Linked DNA regions of Stegostoma tigrinum. The protein of the gene in region 1 interacts with the protein of each later gene in a pairwise test. Links are inferred from orthologs where the notes say so. Each region holds a gene or a part of one and is shown in the gene's direction. Other genes may lie near its edges.

Region 1 (6,989 bases):
CTGAGCAAGGTGAGGGCCCATGGTGTTCGAGGTGAGCTACTGGCTTGGATTGAGGATTGGCTGTCTGACAGAAGGCAGAGAGCTGGGATAAAAGGCTCTTTTTCGGAATGGCAACTGGTGACGAGGGTTCAGTGTTGGGGCCTCACTTGTTCACGTTATATATTAATGATCTGGATGAAGGGACTGGGGGCATTCTGGCGAAGTTTGCCAATGATACGAAGATAGGTGGTACTGAGGAGGTGGGGAGGCTGCAGAAAGATTTAGACAGTTTAGGAGAGTGGTCCAGGAAATGGCTGATGAAATTCAACATGAGCAAATGCAAGGTTTTGAACTTTGGAAAAAAGAATACAGGCACAGACTATTTTCTAAATGGTGAGAAAATTCGTAAAGCAGAAATACAAAGGGATCTGAGAGTTTTGGTCCAGGATTCTCTAAAGGTTAGCTTGCAGATAGAGTCTGTGATTAAGAAAGCGAATGTAATATTGTCGTTTATCTCAAGAGGGTTGGAATATAAAAGCAGTGGTGTGCTTCTGAGACTTTATAAAGCTCTAGTTAGGCCCCATTTAGAATACTGTGTCCAATTTTGGGCCCCACACCTCAGGAAGGACATACTGGCCCTGGAGCATGTCCAGCGGAGATTCACACGGATGATCCCTGGAATGATAGGTTTAACGTATGATGAATGGCTGAGGATCCTGGGATTGTATTCATTAGAGTTTAGAAGGTTGAGGGGAGATCTAATAGAAACTTACAAGATTATTTATGGCTTAGAAAGAGTGGATGCTGGGAAGTTGTTTCCCGTAGGCGGGGAGACAAGGCCCTGTGGGCACAGCCTTAGAATTAGAGGGGGTAAATTAAAAATGGAAATGAGGTGACATTTCTTCAGCCAGAGAGTGGTGGGTATGTGGAATTCATTGCCACGGAGTGCAGTGGAGGCCGGGACGTTAAATGCCTTCAAGGCAGAGATCGATAAAATCTTGATCTCACAAGGAATCAAGGGTTACGGAGAGAGTGCAGGGAAGTAGAGTTGAAATGCCTATCAGCCATGATTTAAATGGTGGAGTAGACTCGATGGGCCAAATAGCCTTACTTCCACTCCTATATCCTATGGTCAAATGTGCTGTATTTGGACTTCCAGAAGGTGTTTGACTAGGTACAGCTCAAAAGGTTAAGACATAATGTAAACACCCACAGATTTGGAGGTAGTGCATTGACTTGGATAGAGAATTGGCTCATGACAGGAAACATCGAGTCGGGAGAGGGGATTCTATTCCAGGTTGGTGACATGTGATCGGTGGGGTTCCACAGGAATCAGTGCTGGGACTGCAACTATTTACAATATAAATTAACGAATTGGAGGAAGGCAGTGACTGTACAATGGCCAAATTTGCAGTTGACATAAAAATAGGTGGAAAGTTACATTGTGAGAGGGATACAAACAGTTTACAAAGTGATATTGATTGGTCAGGTGAGTCGGCAAAAAATTAGCAAATGGAGTATAATATGTGAAAGCGTGAAAATGTTCATTATGGAAGGGAGAACAAAATAAGTAAGTATTGTTTAAATGGCAAAATATGCAGAAAGCAATAACACAAAGGAGGTATATCCATGAAACACAAAAAGCGAGCAAACAGCTTCAGCAGACAATCAGGAAGGCTGATGGAATGTTGGCCCTTATTTCAATGAGGTTGGAGCATAAAAAGATAAGTCGTATTGCAACTGTGCAAGATGCTGGTGAGACCACATCTGGAGTACTGTGACCAGTTTTAGTAACCTTATTTATGGAAATATATTGTTTCATTGAAGGCGGTTCAGAGGAAGCCAACTAAGATGATCCCTGGTAAGGTGGAATTGCCTTATGAGCAAAGGCAAAACAGGTTGGGACTCTGCTCACTGGAGTTTATCAGAATGAAAGACGATCTGATTGAAACACACAGGATTCTTCAGGGTCTTGACAAGGTAAATGCTGAGAGGATGTATGCCCTTGTGAGAGAGTCTAGGACCAGACAGCATAGTCTCAGAATGAAGGGGTGCCAATTTAAGACTGAGATTAGGAGGAATTTATTCTCTCAAGATGGTCCTGATTCTTTGGAATTCCTTGCCACAAAGAGCTGTGGGAACAGAGTCCATGTATATATTTAACGTTGAGATTGATCAATTCTTGATCAGAAGGGGCATCTAGGCTGTAGGGAAAGTGCAGGAAAGTGGATGTGAGGAATGGGGTTGGATCAGCCATGATCCTACCGAATGGTGGAGCTGGCTCAAGCGCTGAATAGTCTTACTCCTATTCCTATTTCTTATTGTCTGTTGTTATTGTATGTAGCAGCCAAATGAAAGGTAAACAGTGGGCTAATGAGAAAATAAATTGAATGATATTAATTGGATAATGCATATATGATACAGTGAATGGCCTTCCACAGTGTAGGGTTAAAAATCAGATTAAAGTGTAGTAATTCTAGTAGCAGGAATATCAGTTAGGAAAGGTCCAAGTTAGGGTTTATGGAGGCAGTGTCAATTACCTCCCCACATGTAAAGTATAAATTGGTGAAATGGAGTTCATTTCAACTCCCCCTTTTTATTACGAAGTGTTTCAATGTGAAAATAACTGGCAGCACAGAGTTTTGCTTTCAACAAGATAAATGGTTCGTTTATTCAATAATTTTCAGCAATGGTTATACTTACTTAAAGGAATAAACTAAAATCCACATAGAAGGATTTATGTAAGTAAGGATATAAGTTGGTAATGAAGATCAAAGAGAGATCATTCTCTACTGTTGCAGCAGGCCAAGCTTGCTCGAAAATTCTCCTTGTTTCGATCCCTTTTGAAAAGATTATACTACTGAATTTAGCTCCATGTTCTGAAGTAGTCACATTTCAAGAATACTTGTTATATTGTCATTCTCTACTGCAGTAGTTTGCAACCTATTGAGTAACATGGCACTCTAAAAGTGAGGCAAACAGTTCCATGCGCACCCACTTTTTTATGTCATCTCAATTTTTCCCTTGAGCCGTATGCATTCAGAATATTCACATTTTAGAATAAAAATCCTGATCCTGCACTTTTAATTCGTTGATTAATTTTAATGAGTTTTGAGATGTAATTTTGATTAAGAATATTGTTTGAGATGAAACATTGTTTAATAATGTACATCGGTAATGAAAATCAAAATTTTATGCTCAATTTATACAGGTCCTCATGGCATATTGGTTGAAAACATAGAACATAGAATATCGCAGCGTAGTATAGGCCCTTTGGCCCTCGATGTTGCATCTATCGCAGGTGAAACCAAACTGAAGCCCAGCTAACCTACACTATTCCATTATCATCCATATGTTCATCCACTGACCATTTAAATGCCCTCAAAATTGGTGAGTCTACTACTGTTGCCCTTACTACTCTAAGTAAAGAACCTACCTCTGACTTCTGTCCTATATCTATCACGCCTCAATTTAAAGTTATGTCCCCTCATGCTAACCATCACCATCCGAGGAAAAAGGCTCTCACTGTCCACCCTATCTAATCCTCTGATCATCTTGTATGTCTCTATTAAGTCACCTCTTAACCTTCTTCTGTCTAACAAAAACAATTCAGATTTATATTCTTTCATGTTCCCCATCTTTTCCCCTTTTTGTCCTCAATTCCTGCACAAGCATGCTTCCTTCTGTGACCATTACTCAGTCGTCAGATCCATCTGATAGGCAGTATTGCCACCCAACCTAGCGTGCCCAGTTTAAATAATTTTAAATAACCTAGTCAAAATTGATGGCTTCTGAGCTCTGGAATCCTTGGAGCAGCTTTCAGAGAAACAATTCCTACTGCACTGCAAGGGGAATGAATCCCGGTGCAGCACGAGGAGAACGGGTCCTCGTGCAGCATGAGGGGAATGAGTCCTGTTGCAGCGCTAGGGGAATGGGTCCCAGTGGAGCGCGAGGGGATCAAGTCCCGGTACAGCGGGAGATTAATGAGTCCTGGTACAGCGGGAGATTAACAAATCCTGGCACGACGGGAGATGAACGAGTCCTGGTACAGCGCGAGGGGAGCCGGTCTTGGTGCGACATGAGAGGAACAAGTCCTGGTACAGCAGGAGATGACCAAGTCCTGGTACAGCGGAAGATGAAGAAGTCCTGGTACAGCAGGAGATGAACGAGTTCCGGTACAGCGCAAGGGGAATGGGTCCTGATACAAGACGGGGGGAACGATTCCGGTCCAGCGTGAGGGGAATGGGTCCTGGTGCAACGTGAGGGCAACGGGTCTTGGTGCGACATGAGGGGAACAAGTCTTGGTGCAGCGTGAGGGGAATGGGTCCTGGTGCAGCGTGAGGGGAACAAGTCCTGGTGCAGCATGAGGGGAATGGGTCTTGGTGCGACATGAGGAGAACAAGTCCTGGTACAGCGGAAGATGAAGAAGTCCTGGTACAGCAGGAGATGAACGAGTTCTGGTACAGCGCAAGGGGAATGGGTCCTGATACAAGACGGGGGGAACGATTCCGGTCCAGCGTGAGGGGAATGGGTCCTGGTGTAGCGTGAGGTGAATGGGTCCTGGTGCAACGTGAGGGCAACGGGTCTTGGTGCGACATGAGGGGAACAAGTCTTGGTGCAGCGTGAGGGGAACGAGTCCTGGCACAGCACAATTTATCTTGGCGCAGTTGTGTGCCGGTGCAGAGAGGACTGGAAACTTGGAGCAGAGCGGGATAATTATTGGACAGGCGCTTAGCACATACAGTCAGACCACAATGCTGAGTTACTGCTATTTGAATTTTTTTTACCTGACTGTAATGTGAGTTCTTTAACTATGTTATAATGATCTGATTCCTAACCTATTTTGTCAGACACTGTATGTAATGCTACAACTATTCCTTTTATTCTTGTTCCGTATGAAATTTTTACCTCAGTGCTTGTACCGAGGATGGCGCCTTTAGTGGCAGCCATTGTAAAAACTTCTGTGTACTCTTGTACTTCCAAGACGCTTGACAATAAAAGGATATTCAATTCTATTCTGTATTCTACAAAGCTGTGACCAGAAGATGGCATTCTTCTAATGCAGCTCAGGTAACCATGCAAGTCAATGCCTGACCGGAGAATACAATATCAGCAAGAGTCACCGTGGAATACTTGCAAGCACTTGAATCATCTCTACTTTTAATTTATTATACTCCAAAAGCAAAATACTTAAAACCTGCATGCCTGCTTTCTGACTGAAGTAAAATTAGATTGTGGTAGAAATTCTGCTTTTTATAGTGGCTAAACAAAACCCGACAGCCAAGAGGAGTTTTCTTATCAGTCTTAAATTGGATCTTCTGAAACAAAAAGATAAACCCAACCATCTTAACTATCTCTCTCTAGACAACAGTTTCTGCTGACCTTTTGTAACAAAAGAAGAAGTGGATGTATCCACCTTTTTCACTGTTTTTATTCCTTTCCTACAGGGGAGTCATTAAAACTCACATCGCAAAATGCAGCCTAACTGTTTCAGACAGAAGTGCAACTTGACTTGTTTGCGTAAATATTCCGTAACTCCAATGCAATACCCGTGATGTCCATTATGTGTACACTAATTTACTATAGCAATTTAAAGTTGTCTACCTGGTCACCAAGGTTCTAATGTTTCACTGATCTATTATATAAATATATGTGTATATGTAGCATAATAAAATGTGAGGCTGGATGAACACAGCAGGCCAAGCAGCATCTCAGGAGCACAAAAGCTGACGTTTCGGGCCTAGACCCTTCATCAGAGAGGGGGATGGGGTGAGGGTTCTGGAATAAATAGGGAGGGGGGGAGGCGGACCGAAGATGGAGAGTAAAGAAGATACGTGGAGAGAGTATAGGTGGAGATGTAGGGAGGGGATAGGTCAGTCCAGGGAAGACGGACAGGTCAAGGAGGTGGGATGAGGTTAGTAGGTAGATGGGGGTGCGGCTTGGGGTGGGAGGAAGGGATGGGTGAAAGGAAGAACAGGTTAGGGAGGCAGAGACAGGTTGGACTGGTTTTGGGATGCAGTGGGTGGAGGGGAAGAGCTGGGCTGGTTGTGTGGTGCAGTGGGGGGAGGGGACGAACTGGGCTGGTTTAGGGATGCGGTGGGGCAAGGGGAGATTTTGAAACTGGTGAAGTCCACATTGATACCATTAGGCTGCAGGGGTTCCCAGGCGGAATATGAGTTGCTGTTCCTGCAACCTTCGGGTGGCATCATTGTGGCACTGCAGGAGGCCCATGATGGACATGTCATCTAAAGAATGGGAGGGGGAGTTGAAATGGTTTGCTACGGGGAGTTGCAGTTGTGTGTTGCGAACTGAGCGGAGGTGTTCCGCAAAGCGGTCCCCAAGCCTCCGCTTGGTTTCCCCAATGTAGAGGAAGCCACACCGAGTACAGTGGATGCAGTATACCACATTGGCAGATGTGCAGGTGAACCTCTGCTTAATGTGGAATGTCATCTTGGGGCCTGGGATAGGGGTGAGGGAGGAGGTGTGGGGGCAAGTGTAGCATTTCCTGCGGTTGCAGGGGAAGGTGCCGGGTGTGGTGGGGTTGGAGGGTAGTGTGGAGCAAACAAGGGAGTCACAGAGAGAGTGGTCTCTCCGGAAAGCAGACAGGGGTGGGAATGGAAAAATGTCTTGGGTGGTGGGGTCGGATTGTAGATGGCGGAAGTGTCGGAGGATGATGCGTTGTATCTGGAGGTTGGTGGGGTGGTGTGTGAGAATGAGGGGGATCCTCTTAGGGCGGTTGTGGCGGTGGCGGGGTGTGAGGGATGTTTTGCTGGAAATACGGGAGACGCAGTCAAGGGCGTTCTCGATCACTGTGGGGGGAAAGTTGCGGTCCTTGAAGAACTTGGACATCTGGGATGTGCGGGAGTGGAATTAAAAGATTTCCAGCATATTATTTTCAAGATTTTCAGTATTTTGCTTTTGCATTTGCAAAGTGTCTCTAATGTAGTAAAACAATCGAAGGTGACCTTTAGGGAAGACATTCTGGAGATTAGGGACTGAGCTGCAGAAGG
Region 2 (7,709 bases), on another chromosome or scaffold:
ATACAAGTTCTTAGGAGATATAATTGGTTCAAATTTAAATAATAAATCTTAAGCTGAACAAATAAATACACTAATATATTCAACAGGACACACAGCTGACGTATGAAGAAAATATAAAGAAGGCATAAATTATTTTAAAGTTCTAATACCTCTTAATAAATACTTTAATGTGAGAACAAATGAAAATCTTGAAAGGGCAAAACTTAACTGAAGAGTTTAACATTCAGGGAGGTGGCAGATAATTTATTTCATAATCATTACAGTTTTGTGGAAAACTCTGACTAGGGAGCTTTGAAATCAGGATTCATAAGAAACAAGTCCAAAGAATCCAATTTGGACTGGAAAAGGATAGATCAGAGCACTTTCTAGATGGTACGAAGTAATACGATGGAACCAAAGAGATTAGTGGGTTCAGGTGCATAGATCTTTAAAACACCATGAACAGGTGCAGAAAATAATGAAGAAAGCCAATGGATTTCTGGCCTACAAATACAGGACTGGAATATAAGGATATAGAAATTATGATGCAATTATAGAAAGCCCTCCTTACATCCCACTTGGAGTTGTGTAAGCTAATATGGGCACCACACCTCAAGAAGGATATATTGGCATTGCAGGGAGTACAAAGTTGGTTTACAAGAATGACACCTGGCCTTCAGGGGTTAAATAATACGGTGAGATTATACAAATTTGGCCTGTTTTCTCTAGAATTTAGAAAGGGGTGATATGATCATAGTCTCCAAGATATTAACAGGAAAGGGCAGGGTAGATAATGATAAACTATTTCCACAGGTTAGAGATTCTAAAACTTGGGTATTGTCCAAGAATTAGGGCGAGACTATTGAGAAAAGATATTAAGATTTTAGCAAAGGTTGTGGGTGAGGTTGTTGACTTGTTCGCCAAGCTGACTTGATTTTGTTCAGACATTGCGTCACCATGCTAGTTAACATCATCAATGAGGCCTCAGACGAAGCAATGTTGTTCTATTTGACTTGGAATTTAGACTGTCCAGTGCATTATGATGAGTAGTGTCATGACCAGTTTTGTTCTGTATGGGTTTGTATATGGGGTCCAATTCTATATGTTTGTTGATTGCATTATGGGTTGAGAACCATATCTCTAGAAATTCCTGTGCATGTCTACATTTGGCTTGGGCTACTATGGTTACGTTGTCCCAGTTAAATTGATGGCCTTTGTTGTCCGAGTATACTGATATTAAGGAAAGTTCATCATGTTGTTTTGCTGCTAGCTGAGGTTTGTGTATTCTGATGGCTAGTTTCCTTCCTGTCTTTCCAATGTAATGTTTGTGGCAGTCATTGCATGATACGTTGTATATCACATTGGTCCTGTATGTTGTGGGAATAGGGTCTTTAATCCTTGTAAATGTTTGTCGTGAAGTGGCTGTGGGCTTGTGTGCTACCATGATTCCTAGTGGTCATAGCAGTCTCATTGTCAGTTCTGATATGTTCTTGATATAGGGCAGTGTGACCAGTGTGTTAAGGCATTATTGACAACAACAAGAGGACACAGGACAAAGACGGCACAGTGGCTCAGTAGTTTGCATTGCTGTCTTACAGCACCAGGGGCCAGGGTTCGATTCCACCCTTGGGCAACTGTCTGTGTGGAGTTTGTGCATTCTCCGAGTGTCTGTGTGGGTTTCCGCTGAGTGGTCCGGTTTCCTCCCACTGTCCAAAGATGTGCAGGCTAGGTAGATTGGCCATGCTAAATTGCCCATAGTGTTCAGTAATGTGTAGATTAGGTGGGTTATAGGGGCTGGGTCTGGGTGGGATGCTGCGATAGTCATTGTGGACTTGTTGGGCTGAAGGGCCTGTTTCCATATTGTAGGGAGTTTAAGTCATCAACTGACAATGAGACTCCTATGACCACTAGGAATTATGGTAGCACACAAGCCCACAGCCACTCCGCAACAAACACTCTCAAGGATTAAAGACCCCATTCCCACAACAGGCAGAGCAAATGCAATTTACAAAACACTATGCAACAACCACCACAAACATTACATTGGACAGACAGGAAGGAAACTGGCCATCAGAATACATGAACATCAACTAGCAGCAAAACAACACAATGAACTTTCCATATTATTAGCACACTTGGACAAGGAAGACCATCAACTTAACTGGGAAAACATAATCATAGTAGCCCAATCCAAACATAGACATGCACAGGAATTCCTAGAGACATGGTTCTCAACCCATAATGCAATCAACAAACATATAGAATTGGACCCCATGTACAAACCCATACAGAACAAAACGGGAAATGGTACTGTTTAACATAAGAGACCAGACAGTATAAATTCCAAGTGGAATAGAGCAACATTGCTTCATTGGAAGCCTCATTGATGATATTACCTAGTATGGTGAAAAAACCTCTGAACGAAAACAAGCTGGCTCAGCGTGCAAGTCAACAACCTCAAAGATATTAAGAAACACATCTTTATTCAATGGGTGGTAGATGTTTGGAAGCTTCTTCCACAAACGGTAGTGGACACTAGATCAGTTTTTCATTCTAAATCTTAGAAAGATAAATTTTTGAGTAGCAAAAGTTCAGGGAATATAGGCCAAAACAGAGTTAGTCCATTCAGCTATGATCTCATTGAAAGGCAGAACAAGCTCAAGGGACTGAATGACCTACTCCTGTTCTTAGTATTTAACTTTAGAAAAGTCATTCAAATGAATGAAACTAGAAACCAGCGGAGTGAATGAAATAGCGACTTGCCATTTGCTCCCACCTTCAATAGTGAAGTGGCATCTTAGATGATATGTTCAAATATCTGAAGTACACTTTAAACCAACCATCTTTTGACTCAGAGGAAAATATATTGCCAGACTTATTGCTGGCTTTGATAAATGAAAGAAATACAAATAAATGTCACAAAAATATTCACAATGATAAAAATGTTAAATTGAACACACTTTGGTGGCTAACTTTGTTCATCATCCAGCATCAATGTTAAATCTGCTGTATCAATTTGTCCACTGTGCTGTTTGGTGTCTGAACAACCACAGTTAAAAGATTCATCACTGAGCTCAAGTGAGTTGTATAGCTCATTTTTGTTCACAGTATTTGCTTCTTCTGGAAACCTTTGTTGATGGTTGTCTTCTGAAGGTTCTTTGATTATGAAAAGAATAGAAAACACTTCCACCACTCCTGTCAAATTGCAGACTGCCTTCTTGCTGGCAGAATGAAGCAATTCTCTTACGTCAACACAGACTCTATCAAGATTGCCTTTCTTCTTTAACATCCCTTCATGAGACTAGGAAACCCAATGAAATCTTCTGTAGGCGCCCATTTACCTGTTGGTAAACAATGGTTTGTTCACAGGCCAGTTGATCTCATGATACTTGATTTCATTTGTGGAGCTCCTTCAGTCTGCCAAGAATGTTGAGGTGAAGAATTACCTGCAAGCTCCAACAGAGAGAGGTTAATTGCGAATTACAGGGATGTTGTATTACTTGTATCATACCCTAATTTTTGAAAGATTTTCCCCTGAAGCATGTGCTTTGCCTGTAGGCAGTATTCTACAGTTTAGCAACATCTTCCAGCAGAGATCCTAAACTAAGTTGCCAGTCATCTTTTCCTTGCAGCGAGGGAGTCAGTGCAAAAGAATATAAAACACATAATCTATAATGGGCTTAAAAATCAACATGAGCAGAACAGTGCAGTCCTGATTCATACAAAATCACAGAACTAGAAAAGCATTCAGGAGCCTGAAATGTGGCAAAGCAACATGATATGATGACAACATTGCACCAGAATTCCTGTGCCTGCTGACTCAGCTCAACTAAATTCATGAATGAGTCGGGTATGGGAAAGATCATTCCACAGAACGGAAAAGATCTCAGATTGGAGATAATGGGAACTGCAGATGCTGGATAATCCGAGATAACAAAGTGTGGAGCTGGATGAACACAGCAGGCCAAGCAGCATTTTAGGAGCATAAAAGCTGACGTTTCGGGATCTCAGATTGGACAGCCAGTTATCAACCGACTTGTTTGTGTGCTTTAAGATCGAAAATATCTTTGATGTCGATTCTGTTTCTGCAGTGCGTGTCCAACTTTGCACATTCACCAACCACATGGAAAATGTCTTCCAAAGAACGTGAAGTCAGGCATAAGTGCTGCTGGACCGCACAGTTGCCCATAATACAGTGTAGCACAGCTGTCCAGAGTGTTTCCAACCTGGGTAATTTTCTTCGCAATAGACAATTTAGAGAAGTGCATGGAGAACACTGGCCAATGGGCTACTATAGGGGAGGGTGGTATGTATGTTGAAGATAGGAGTTGCATGGGTAAAGCAATAAGCGATGGGTGGAGATGGAGCCCACCTTTTCCAATCTAGCTGAGGAAAGCTCAGGGCTCTCTGGACCCAGAACATTAACTCTGCTTTCTCTCTGCCACACCTGCTGACTTTCTTCAGTAACTTCAGATTCCCAGCATCCGCAGGTCAACGTTTTATTTCGTGTTTTGACGCTCTTCCACCAACATCGCACGCCTCGGTGTCAGGCAATCACGGAGAAGTTCCCAACGGTCTCATGCCCGGGAAGCGCGCACGCCGTGACCACATTGCTTGAGAGAAACTGTGCGTGCCCGACCCCGCGTGCGTCATGACGCAATCCCGTTGAGCGGTGTCTCTGGCACGGAGGGGGGCGGGGGGAAAAGGGGGGGTTTCCATCATGGCGTCAATGCAGGTGAGTGTCTGATGTGTTCGGCGGCGCTTCAGTGGACGCCTTCTCTCTTTCCTGCTGGGGTGGCCGTGTCAGTTTCTCTCCGCATTCGAGGGAAGAGCCGGCCCTAAGACCTCCTCGGTATCTGCATCTCGTCTTTTCAGCTGGGGTTGGGGGGTTGGAGGGTCGGGGGGAGCGGATAAACGATGAAGCCGAGTGGAGCGGCCCGCGATTGTTTGTGTACGTTTTCACAAATTTGCGGGCTTCTTAAAACCGCGGCGGTGAAAAGTGCAGAGGGTTTTGGGCGCATTCCTAATGGAGTGGGATGTCGATCCCTGAGCCCTGGGTGGTGGTTGGGGTGACTTGGGCTCCATCTCTCCGCCTGCCCCTTGTTTCTTTCCATCCAGGTGATGGCAACAGCATCATCGCGCCCTGTGAAGGTTATAGGTGCCAGCGACACCTGTCGAGGCCCACCACAGGAACAGCAATGGGCTCAGGAGTCACCTCTGCCATCAGCAATCGTTATATGACTTGAGTTGGGCTTCTTCAATTTCAGAACCTTTAACTTTGCTCCTCGTTTCCACGTTCTCACCCCGATGTGTGCTTATCCTGTCGGGGATCAAGCCTGACCACTTGTTTAAATACACAGTACGTGGACTAACACCTCATCTGTGTACGCATCCTCCGTGGTAAAACTTGCATCAGTTCAGTAAATAAAGGCCGTCCATTTTTATTAATAGTTATCCACATCTTGAAAAATGTGATTGGCCGAGTTACTGCACTTTTTTTCGTGCATATATATGTAAAACTGTCAAGCTTGTATTAGCCCTGCAATTGTACTGATTAGCTGAGTTTGTGAAGGAAATAACTACAGTATTAATTTGGGAAGGTATGAAATTAGGCAAAAAATTTACACTTCAGAATTTTTACACAACTGCATTCAAATATGTCAATTTTAAAGTGAAAATCAATTGGAAGCAAACCTTCACAGAATTGGGGATAATTACAATTTGGAAAATTATACACCAGTTTACCTAATATTACAGTAACCCATTTTTTCTAACTGTTCTGTTTTCTCTAATAGAAAAGGTTACAGAAGGAGCTAATGGCTTTGCAAAATGACCCACCCCCAGGAATGACTTTAAATGAGAAGAGTGTACAAAATTCAATAACGCAGTATGTACTTTAATATTTTAATGTTAATTTTAAAATGTGAAAAGCCAGTATAAGGCAGGTAGAGTTTTTAAAATTACTGGCAGTTTTACTAGAATCAAAGATTATTTTCTAGTGTCATTGCTATTTAGTTATCAGGATATGGACAGGATTTGTGCGCTCTGTTAAACAACTTGTATTAGACAATAGACAATAGGTACTGGAGTAGGCTATTCGGCCCTTCGAGCCAGCACCACCATTCATTATGATCATGGCTGATCATCCACATGATTGCATTGTTTCTAAGAAGGTGTATTTCAGGTTACAAGATGATCGTTGGACTAATCATGTTTTGTAAATAAGTTGATGTAGTATGATTGTACAGTGTGTATATTTTAATGGAATTTGCTGGATGTATATCGTGTGGAGTAGTTTTTTTAAGGTGCATATAAATAATAGAAGTATAACAGCTCAAAAGCTAAGTTTGCAATAATAGCTTGTTTTAAGAATGTTGGCTTTGAATATATTACTGGAAATTTGAGGACACTACAAGAACTGGTGGATTGTTTCTGAATCTATTGTACTATGAGATATGACTGACACTTAAGTAGTTTTAATGTGGTGATTGTTTGTTTACTGAATTAGTTATATACTGTCAGTGTTTTTGCAGTATAATGAGCATTGTCTTATATCCTATGGTATACATTGCGTGTGTTTATCTTGACTTAGGGAGTTAACAATGTCTGACTATTAATAGCAGTAACTCTGAAATGTTTCTGTTCTTAATATTTGTACGTACCTTCATTGTTTAATTTTTCACAGTATCAAATAGTTTTGAATTGTATATATTTTCAGCGTAACAACTTATAAAGTCTCTGCATGTATGAACACACTTACTTATTTTACCTGGTTCCTCTGATGTCTGACCAGTTTCAGTTTCATACTTGCTGTATGTAATGAGTTGAATGTGTAAGTGAAATATACAGAATGATGCAATGGAATCATGTGTTTCTTTTAAAAAAAATTTGATTTGCAAGAAGATTAGTCCTGTAAATGATCGCTTGCAATATGTAGCATTGTGCAGGTTTATAGAATGTGTACTGCATTTAACTCAGTTAATTCACAACGAAAGGAATTGAATTATAATCTTGTTTATTAAGAAACTTTGTAGAAGTATGATGCATACATTTAATCTGAATGTTTAAATCTCCTCATACCTCACCCCACTTGCCCATCTCTCCTCACGCCAACCAATTGTCCATCTCTCCTCGTTTCTCCCCCCCCCCCCCCCCCCCCACTCGTCCATCTTCTGACACGTGTCGGCTCCACGCTTCCCACTGACCAACCACAATAACCCCTACTTGCATCACCACCATCAAAATCTCTCCATCCCCAACATTTTCATCTTCCTACTCACTAACTACCTGCATCCACCTATCTCCATCTCACCTAGCTTCCCTCCAGCCTTCCCCCACATTTTTTTCTGGCCTCCCTCCCCTGATGAAGGATTTCAGCCCAAAACATTGACTTTCCTGCTCCTGTAATGCTGTCTGACCTGTTATGCTTATCCAGCCTCTCACCTATAGACACCAGCTTCCAGCATCTGCAGTCCTCACTGTCTCTATGCTGATTATCCCCAATGAAACCTTGCCTCTTTAAATCGAGATTTATTTTCTGCAGTAGTTTTTCTACTGGCTTATAGTTCCCTAGTTTATCTCTACCACCCTTATAAAGTGGAACCAATTTGTCCTCATACCCAAAGTATGTCCTGTTGTCCTCCAGGACCTTCCCTGTGGCCGGAGACAATTTTAAAAATTTGGTTCAGGGCCCCTGTAATTTTTTTACCTTGTCTTCCACAGTGGCTGAC

Evidence for each region.
Region 2: the proteins of E3 ubiquitin-protein ligase XIAP-like (region 1) and ube2wb interact in a two-hybrid assay, tested with the Homo sapiens proteins (2 studies listed by BioGRID and IntAct). The link is inferred for Stegostoma tigrinum from reciprocal best matches to the Homo sapiens genes XIAP and UBE2W.

The regions. Positions count from the first base shown.
Region 1 is NC_081368.1:29,298,542-29,305,530, forward strand, and holds the start of E3 ubiquitin-protein ligase XIAP-like, read left to right. Parts: upstream 1-3,889; 5' UTR 3,890-4,154; intron 4,155-6,989.
Region 2 is NC_081358.1:26,381,756-26,389,464, forward strand, and holds the start of ube2wb (probable ubiquitin-conjugating enzyme E2 W-B), read left to right. Parts: upstream 1-4,669; 5' UTR 4,670-4,699; coding exon 4,700-4,714; intron 4,715-5,774; coding exon 5,775-5,866; intron 5,867-7,709. UniProt on the Homo sapiens protein: Accepts ubiquitin from the E1 complex and catalyzes its covalent attachment to other proteins.